2 linked regions of the Caenorhabditis elegans genome follow. The protein of the gene in region 1 interacts with the protein of each later gene in a pairwise test. Each region holds a gene or a part of one and is shown on either strand. Other genes may lie near its edges.

What was found.
Region 2: the proteins of C50E3.13 (region 1) and meg-4 interact in a two-hybrid assay, tested with the Caenorhabditis elegans proteins (2 studies listed by BioGRID).

The regions. Positions count from the first base shown.
Region 1 is NC_003283.11:7,621,815-7,626,221, forward strand, and holds C50E3.13 (uncharacterized protein), read right to left. Parts: upstream 2,439-4,407; 5' UTR 2,339-2,438; coding exon 2,300-2,338; intron 2,257-2,299; coding exon 2,155-2,256; intron 1,776-2,154; coding exon 1,680-1,775; intron 1,630-1,679; coding exon 712-1,629; 3' UTR 513-711; downstream 1-512. Other genes in the region: C50E3.12 (uncharacterized protein), read right to left, coding at 18-119, 177-215; grsp-4 (Glycine Rich Secreted Protein), read left to right, coding at 3,139-3,310, 3,635-3,673, 3,721-3,765, 3,857-3,919, 4,050-4,109, 4,244-4,303.
Region 2 is NC_003284.9:1,681,096-1,686,974, forward strand, and holds meg-4 (J domain-containing protein), read left to right. Parts: upstream 1-1,858; 5' UTR 1,859-1,860; coding exon 1,861-1,918; intron 1,919-1,964; coding exon 1,965-3,435; intron 3,436-3,483; coding exon 3,484-3,567; intron 3,568-3,615; coding exon 3,616-3,762; intron 3,763-3,810; coding exon 3,811-3,945; intron 3,946-4,460; coding exon 4,461-4,738; intron 4,739-4,787; coding exon 4,788-5,113; 3' UTR 5,114-5,324; downstream 5,325-5,879.

The DNA.
Region 1 (4,407 bases):
TTTCAAATTGTTCATACCTCTTCTGAACCATCTTCTGCATTTGACTGCCGTCCACTTTGCTCTTCCGCTGGCTCATCTTGTTCTTGTTCTTTTCCTTGAGTTGGTTCACCATTTGTCTTCTAAACATTCATGTTAATGCTTAATTTAATTTTTGAAACAGGAAAATTCAATCTTACCTCTTCGATATCAGCTGCAGACTCTCCAGACACATTCATCTCTTACAGTTAGTAGCGATTTGAGATGTAATCTGAAAATTTACAAATTTTGTTTAAAACTTAAAACGAAGTTAAAAGAGGGAAAACTGAAAATTGTCAAATTAAAATAGAAAAAAAATATAACTGACCAAAACAATCGATTATAGCGAGGGAAAGGAAGAATATTCGGAAAAGGACACCGGTAATTTTTCCGGGACAATTGTAGGTCAAACAACAACGGTCTTATGAATATTCGAGGGGAACCCCCTCCCGCGTTACAAAAAACATTAAAACATGCGTACATTGTAGATCAAAAAATTTCATATCATTTTTTATCGTTTTTTGTCAAAATTGCTATCGAAAATAAAGGTCGTAATCAATATTTAATCAATATTTACCTGAAATGAAATAAAATAAATAAGATACATCAAAGAAAATTGATATTAAAAAATAAACAGACTGGATTATAAAATAAAGATTTAAAATAAATTAGTATCAACTTGAGTTCATCATTATTTTAGCAACTTCTTCCAAGAGCCTGGGAAGATGTGGATGGAGCATTCCACATGCTTGCGCTGCTTCCCGATCCTCCTTCATCATCATCACGACGTGGTCGCTTGGGCCTCCAATTCGATGGACCTTCCTGATGATCAATCTCTGCTTCATCCTCTGATTCCTCTTCGTCACTCTGATACACAGTTCCTCCACTATCGTTCAAATCAGGATCATCAGCACCCAAGCCTTCTGTTCCACGCGGATTTAAATATTCTGCACGATTAGTTGATATTCCTCCGCCACCTATAACAGGGTTGACCACAAGACTCAGAAGCTCAAGAAGATCTGGTAATTCATCGACATGATGTTCATCTTCATCCTCAGAATCGTAATCTTCTTGGTTCGAAGGACCGGCCCGATTTGATGCACGTTCCCTGCGACGATCTTCTTCGGTACGTTGTCGAGTAGCTACTAAACGCTCATAGTCTCGAATCGCTTGTTCATGCGGCTCCCGTCGTCTTTCCCAGGAATTTGCGACACGGTTCAACCGATCATTCAGAGTTTCCATCCAAGTATTAACACTTTGATCTGTTGGATTTTTAAATCTTCTCAATCTCCAAATAAAGGTTTTTCGGGCGATTCGTTCCCTTTCATACAGTTCGGCCCGCGCCCTTCTCAGTAGAAGCACTCGGTTTTGCACAGTTCGGATAGCCAAATTTTCGGCAGCCTCGTCTTCGTAGTTTCTCCGATTTTCAAGAACATCTAGCCTTCCAAGATATCCAGCTCGACTTCTGAGTTCGTTTTCTTTTTGTAAGAGTTCCTCTCCAAGTGATTCTGTCATTCTAATTAGTTCCAGCTCCTGCCGATATTCATCTTCCAATTCTTCTAGTCGTGCTACTTCTGCTCCAATTTGAATAGTGGTGATCAGTTGACTGGGATTCTGAAAAATAAAATTTGGAAAAGTTGTTATATTTTTAGAATCAGTATTACCACTGCTATCAAGTATTCCAAATTTGGTGGAACTTGCAGGTTATCGGATGCGTTTGGAACTTGTGGTTGAATCGGTGGCTGCCTGGCAGTGAGATCCTGTAAAATAAAAAAAATAAGCCTGACTTCACCACTAATCAACCTTCAACTAGAAAATTGCACAAAATGAATCAAAAGCAGACATAAAAAACTTCCAGAACATTCTCCGAAAATCGAAAGAATCTCGTTCTTTTTGTTACGAAACATAAATCCTCTCAAAAGCTAAACCCACAAAGTTTAATTTTACTGAAGACAAAACGTTCAGCTTCGGTCAATTAAAAAACTGAAAGCCAGAAGTGTTATAAATTATTATTTCGTTTGCTTCTCCGATTTCAGAAAAAGTATAAATAAACAAAAAATCATTTTCACTATTTAGGTACCGTGGTAATTTTTAAAGCACTAGGTAATCTTTAGAATCCCACAAGAACTCATTCAATACCTCATCTGCGCTCTCCTGATCATTTGGCTGCGGAACTCCTTCCAATACTGGCTCAACTCGTTCTTGCTCTTGTCCTTGTCGGGACGATCCACCGGCGTTGCTCTGAATTGCTCTTTTCAAAAAAAAGTTAAATTCTTTTACTTACATCACTGGCTCCCGCTTCTAATTCTTCAGGTCCGGACATCACTCGGCGTGGAGAGGAAACTCGAAGAAAAACGTTTGGATCGTAACAAGAAAGAGAAGAATGAGTTCAATTAGATCATTGTTCTATTTAATTAATAATTAGATCAAGGAGTATTTTGCGAGAACAAAGAAATCTCAGCGCTGGAGAATTTTGTAGATCAAAATTATTTTAGTAGATCATGAGTATATTTTTTAAAGTAATAAAAATTTATGAAATCATTTACATAAATATAACACGTATAAAGGAAAATTATTAAAAATTCAATCATCCAATCGGCTCAATTTGTGCCCAAATAACAGTTTTGAATTTTTGAAGCAAAGTCAGTTCAAATTTTATAGAAATTTCGAGCATATTTCCAGCGGTTCTTTTGATGTTTTAATAAGTGTTTAAAATTTTTCAAAAATTTTCAATATTTTCCCCGACAATCTTTCAATAAAATAACTTGTGATAACTTGATCTTTCTTTAACTATCCAAATTCCTCCTCATTTGACCTTTGTCTTCAAAATCAAGTCAAAATCAAAGAAACATAAGTTTTGTAATTTTTCGTGTGAAATTCTGTTTCTATCATCATCATTATGTTTCGGTGTAACTTTATGTGTCAAATTCTTTTTTAGGTCGTCTTGACCGACCTTCAAAAGACCGAGATAAGACAGGAGGCGTGGCACCACATAAAGGAAGTTTTGGAGAAAAAGTTTTAGTTGTTCTTTCATTTATTTCTCAGTTTCCCTTAATGTGTATTGAGTTTTGAACCTGTTACAAGTATTTTTAAACTTTAAAACAATATTTTCGTATGTTTAGTATGTACAAATTGACCATCTTCCTTCTTGTTACCCTTCTTGGGCTCACCGTCGGTCAATGGGGTCCAGGATTCGGTGGGCCTGGATTTGGAGGACCTGGATCTGGAGGACCGGGACCACGTGGCCCAGGAGAATGGAATAATGGCGGTGGACGTGGTGGATTTGGAGGAAATAGTAAGTTCCTGTTTTGTGAGAGTTTTTTTTGTGAAACTTTGGCCTTCTTTATCTAAAGTTTGATAGGTATGTGGCATTTTTATCAGATCAAAATAGGAAAATTGACTTCCTTGTTACTTATCGGAACATATTCTTCTTCAAACAGTGCATCGTGTGTTTGATGGACCTTATATCCTATACAAGACTCAGTTCTTATCCTCGCTCACATCAAAGATAACAAGAAATATTAAATTATAAACTACAGAAACAAGACATATTTTGTTTGAACAAAAAAAGATAATTTGAGCTATTCATGTTTATCGATAAAGTTAATTTCAATTCCAGACGGATGGAACAATGGTGGTGGTGGTTTCAATGGAAATGGTAACTTATTATTTTTATTCTCAGTTTATTTAAATTTGATATTTCAGGTGGATTTAATGGAGGTGGTCGTGGAGGCGGACGAGGTGGAAACGGTAAGAACTCTTCTTGTTGTATAATAATTGATTTTTGATTTTTTTTTTGAAGTGTTAGATCAAACTAACAATTAATAATTTCAATTTTTAGGTGGATTTGGAGACAACGGAGGTCTGCGTGGAGGAAATGGGGGAGGTCGCGGTGGTAACGGAGGTCGGTTTCAATCCAACTATTGAAAGTTTCAAAGTTGCTTGAATTAAAAATTTTCAAGCAATCTTTTTTTAAAAATACCACAAATTCCAAAGCATGATTATGTTAGAATGTATTGTTAAACTATTTACAGGATTTGATGACAACGGAGGTGGACGTGGAGGAAATGGAGGAGGTCGCGGTGGTACAGGAGGTCAGTTTTCCCTCAAGTTATTGAAAACTTTCAAAGCTTTTAAAATCAAAAATTAAAATCTAAGCAATTATTACAAAAATATCACAAATTCGAAAGAATAGCCTGGTTGAAAAATAAAAATACACTCTTTTCAGGATTTGGTGACAACGGAGGCGGCCGTGGAGGAAATGGAGGAGGTCGCGGTGGAAACGGAGGTATTCAATAGTTTAAGTGAAAAATTATAATTCTTCTATCATCGTTTTAGATTTTTCAATGGGACTGTTAGATTCAGAAAATGTGTTTATCATAATTTAAAATA
Region 2 (5,879 bases), on another chromosome or scaffold:
GTTAAAATCCGTATAACTCGAAAACTGCATTGCGACCTGAATTACCGACAATTTTTATACTAACAAATTGCTACAAATCATTTATTTTACATTGTTTTCGATTTCTCATCCATAAGACACCTTGTCGAAAAAAGTTAGAACAGCCGACATCCGCCGGATTTGCTGCTTTTTTCTACGTTTTTAATTCGAAAAGTGGAAAATGAAATTTTAGAAACAACAAAAACCACAAAAACGTGAACTTTTTGAAAAAATTTGCTGAAATGCATGGTTTTATTTGTAGAAATGAATTCTTTGTTCCGTACTTTTGAAAAAAAACTACGCATAAACTTATAAAATCTTAATAGAGAAAATGTTAGTGGAATATATCATACATATTCTGCAATCTTTAGTTTTCGAGTTATACGGATTTTAACAACTCAAGTGAATCAAAACCGAAAGAGAACAAAATGTCGGTAATTCAGGTCGCGATGCGACCTAGGTCGCTAGGTCGCAGGTCGCAAAGCGACCCAGGTCGCTAGGTCGCAGGTCGCAAAGCGACCCAGGTCGCTAGGTCGCAGGTCGCAATGCGACCTAGGTCGCGATGCGACCTAACCCTCTAGGTCGCAGGTCGACCTAGGTCGACCTATAGCCACCCCTATTAGTGACTCATGCTTCCGGGGGGTGCATGGCTCAGTGCCTATGCGCGCTGCTTGCAATCACAAGGTCACAAGTTCGACCCCCACCTCCTAGGTCCTTCCAGCCTTAAATGGGAATTCAGTGTTCGTTCCACTGTCTTACAGCTTACATACGGCATTTATCCAGGCAAGACCTGTAGAAAAAAACCAAAAAAAAAAAAAAAAAAAAATTTTGCCACGTGGGGCAACCTGGCAGTATTTAATGATTTCATTTTGGTATTGAAACATGAGACAGTCTAGAAAATTAATTGGCAGAAGTTATCGACCACAGTCCTCAAGATTTTCATTTGATCCCACGTGGCAAACTGTTTGAGTTTTCTTCATTTTTTCTTTGTGTCATAATTTGAAATTTTACTTGCCACATTTTCAGACATTTTTCCGTAAAGAAAATTGGCTGCTCACTTGGAAACGCTGAAATTAGTCTAAAAATCGATAATTCAGTATTAATTTTAACTTACTTTACTGAAACATTACTGAAAAATGTATGAAACTGTGAAAAATTAAAGTTTTAAGTTTTAAATCAAAGAAAATATTAAGAAAAATGTCAAAGATCAGGTCAATAATTTGCGCTGGAATTGAAAAATAATTCGGCCCTTTTTTTTTGCAAAATTGAAAAAAATCATAAAATTTCAAAGAAAATGTTCGGAATTTTTTTACAGTTTTATTCGATATTTACATTGAAACTCTATTTTGTCATTAAGGTACAAAAAACCCACAAACGCTACTCCACCTTTAAACTAACAAGTACACGGAACCAAAGATTTTTCCTTATTTTTCTTCTTCTCGTGTTTTATTCAGTGATTATCTTTCCGGTCACCAATATTCCAGAGAATTAACTATCAATATCCGACTTTTTACTCAACTGTTCCTCAAACCTCCAATACTCTTGAAAAACAGCCGGTACCATACAAACGTTTTGTGTTGTTTTGGTAATACCCCTGCCGCATTTTAACTGTGTTTTTGCCGCGCGCATGCATTCCCCTGACCGTTTCCCCACACACTATTTCGCGCTCTCTTTCTCTACCTCTCTCACTCTCTCACTTCTCGCACTCACTCACTCACAGGTCTCCATTCTTGCTTTTTGGTCCCACCGGTTTTCATTAATTCCTCTCTCCCTCATTATTTTCTTTACATTTTTACATTTTTACATTTTGTAATATTTCATTAAGTTTTTTTTGTTGCAGGTATGAGTTCTTCAAAGCTTTCCTCATGTGATCTGCCAAACTCCAGAGGAAACAGAGAAGGTAAGCATTTTTTAAATCAATTTTTTTCTTCAATTTGTAATTTCAGGTCACCGCTCTCATAGTCGAAGCAATTTGGAAAGTGCATCGAAAAATATGGGACACCACATTAGTATTGAAGAATTGTTTTATTCGTTCGTAAAGCAAGACGGTGTTCAGTCAACAAGCCGTGGATATGGTGGCAGATCTCACCACGGATCCGTGTCTTTTAACGGGAATCCTTCCATGAACGGCGACCAGTTGAATCACTCGATTAATCAATCGATGAATGCAGCTCGAGCTAACAGAAACGTCTTCAACTCATCGAGCATTCCTCCAACGGCCCCCGTGTTCTCTGCAGACTTCCGTCAAAACTCGCAGACACGCAATAACTCCAGCTGGAATCAACGGAACTTGTCAGTTTCCACTTATCAGTACAACACTCAGCAGTCAAATACAGGGCACAGTAGAAGCCGTCCGAATGGACAACTTGGCCGAAGCTTCTCGGATGGATCGAACAATCATGGCCATGCTGGGAATGTGTCATTCAGTGGGAGTTCCGTTCCAGCTGGGTTCCAGAAACAAGAAACCAAGGCTTACCAACAACTTCATGGAAATAAAAGCTTCAACGCTCAAGCTGGAGTTCAAGCTCCTGGAGATCACAAGGACAAGAGATATGGAGGCATGTTTGGAAATGAGCTTATCAATTCGATCAATTCTAGTTTTGGCCAACAGCATGATGTCTTCAAGCCGCGGAATTTGAACCAGAGCTTTTCCGGATTTACTATTAATGAAGCTTTAACAAGGAAGCATCATCAAGAAGGATCAAGAAACGATAGAAGAAGATCACATGGGAGCACTAATGTCCAGGATCGTGCTTTCTACAACACAGATGACAATGAACTGTCTGACGACGTGTTCATAGAAGATTCCAATGGTGTTGCAAACGGTCCAAAATCTGTCACTAACAAATCTCAACAACAGTCTCGCGGAACGAAGGATGCTGGCAGTCAAGTGGCGGAGAAACTGAACTCTTCCAGAGGAGCTGCTCAACGTAATCTGAAATCCAATGTGTTCAGCAAGGACGGCACCGAACTTTCTGTGGAACAGTTACTGGAAATTGTCAGCATGAAGATCGGACAACACTTGCACTCAGCTTCCAGTTCTCACGGAGAATGCAGCAATTTGAATCGGACATTACCAGCTAGAAGTGATCTAAATTGCTCAATTGGTGAAGACTTCGACTCCAGTTTTCTGGATGTAAACAATCGAACCCTGCCAGAAAATCTTTCGAAGAAAACTTCAGTGCAGAAACATCGTCGTGGAAGTTCTCGTAGTGCGTCCCGTCTCGCCAGTCTTGACGTGACGCTGGAGACTGTAGAAGAAGATGTCGAACCCACACCAAGTCCACATCCGAGTTCTCCTCCAAAGATCTCAAGAAGAAAGTGGACAGGAACTTTTGATGCCAACGTTGAGGAAATGAGACGTTTACTTCATGGGGACCCTGGGAAGCCGAAATCTACAAAACGTGCTTTCTCAAGGTATGTAGTGATAAAAAGTGAAGTATTTAGTAAAAGTTTGAATTTCAGCAAGGATCAGAGAACACCTTCCTTGTCAATCATCACAAGCCCGAAGGCTTTGATCGGAGAAAAATGTCTGACAGCATCCAACAAGTTAGTTTTACACTTGGAGCTGCTTTTTTCATTATGTTTGTATTGCAGGTCTTCAAAGATTGACAAGTCACTTGGCATGATTGATTCGAAACTCACAAAGTCACCAATGTACTCCGCCACGGTTTCTGGGAAGGAAGCAACTTCAGGAAACCGAATCGCTCGAAAGTTGACTCCAGGGCTTGATGGACTGAAAAGGTATGGAACTACAAAGAACAAACAACATTTTTAAATGTTCTTTTCCAGCTCTCATTGTACCGGAAATCCAGTTTCCATAGATTGTAATGGTTGCCCAACTCCGAAAAGAAGTGGAATCAATTGTGATAATCGTATGGCTGAAGTGAACAACCAAGCCGGGAGATGGTCCTCTGAAGCCACCAGGTAAGGCCCAAATCAATAAATTCGCAATGAGTTTCGTATTATATAAATTTCTGAATTCTCAAAAAATCGTGGATCAAACATATGGAAAATAATGTGCAAGTTGAGTAGATTGAGGTCAAGACTAGACCTCTCGAGTAAAAAAATAGAGCATTAATCTTGCACAACTCCGCAAAAAGCCCTCTGCTTTTGTCTATTGCCCAGAAGGTGTGCGGCAAATTTGTACGGTTTTGCCGAAACAACTTTGCCGAATTAGCCTAATTTGCCGTTTGCCGAGCTCAGACAATTTTGATCAAAGCTATGGATTTTGTCGCCAAAAATTTAGTAGTGCTCGGCAACTTTTGAGATTTTCCACACATCCCTGGAGCCCAGTCTAATCACTTGATATTATAATTACTAAACGGTGAATTGCGAGCCCGCTAATAAATTTAATTTCCTCAGAATATATAAATTTTTGCCGCACAGCTTGATTCGATTTCTGTAACATACTTTCCAAGTACAATTAATTTTTTTTTCAGTCAGCCTGCCCCACTCCCTTGCAAGTCAGCCAACCCGACCGAAGATTCTTCTCAAGATGCACCTCCAACTTCACCACCACCTCGTATTTCTGATAGCTTGACGGCATTCCTGGAAGCTCAACAAGACTTCAATGATTATATTGATGCTCACTACAAAGAGAAGACACAACTCTTGAAAGTGAATTTGAATATTCACGGGATGTCACCTGAAAGATGGCTGTACTTGAATTATTTTTGCACCGAGACAATTCCAAGATTGGATGGTCCTTATGCCGATGGTAAGAAAGATAAGACATATTTAATCTTGAAAAACGTAAATTTTTTCAGATCCAAGGGTTCCACCTGTGCGAAATATATTCAGAAGATGGTTTCTCCGGTTTGCTGAAGCCTGCTTAGGAAATCCAAATGACCTTGCAGTTCAGAAAGATATTGCTCTCGAGTTCGTTCAGGCTCGGCTTGACGATACGAGCAGCTCCACAGATTCCACCAATATGCTCTACATGTTGTGGAAGGAGTGTATCGGACAGAAGAATATCATCTCAATTGCTGATGCGTGTCTCCTTGTATATCTTCGGAAATCGGATCCTGTCAGATACTTGAATGCAAAACGAGAATGGCTGGAATCTATTTTTGACCCACCCAGAGATCAATGATTGTACTGATATATATCTATTTCATGTCGAGTATTTTGTATTTTATTCTTGTTCATTGACCTTTTAACCACTCTTTTTATACTCCAACTTGCTCCTTCTTGTGAATTTATTTATGGTCTGCCCAGGAACTTGTAACGGGTAGTTTTCTATTGTTATCAGGACTGCTGCTCATTCAAAATTCAAAGTTGAATTTCAATAAAGCGAATGTTTGAAATAGGTATATAATTGGCAACTGATTAGTAGAAATATGTCTCTTCTTTGGCTTTTTGTAAAAGTTAGGCAAAAAAGTGGTCACGGATTCAATTTCAAAAGCGATGCTTCAGACTTATCCGCTACGATAGCGAAGGTTCCGTTTGTACTGAAAAACACAGTAGAGGAAATTGGTATAGGCGCGTATAAATAGAATTCTAGTAGTTGACTCTGAAATATAAAAAGTTATTAACAATCCAAATTGGCAATTACTGATTATAAGGATAGGAATGTTAAGTTTTCTTAATACTACTAGATACTACCCTCTACATTTTTATTGATAGGCATGCCTACTTGCCTGCCTAACTTCATTTGAAGGTCTTCTCTTTGAACGTCCACTTGCGCCATTTCCCGCCTTAAACTTGTTGTGTTTTCCTTGGATGGCTATTTGACTAGCGATTTCAGCTTTCAAGAATGAAAACAATGTTAAGTGCTGGCCTTAGATATCCAGTGTTTCCTGTGAAATTTCATTTCAGTGGCAGCATGCCAGACCAAATCCAAAAAAACCAAAGGGGAA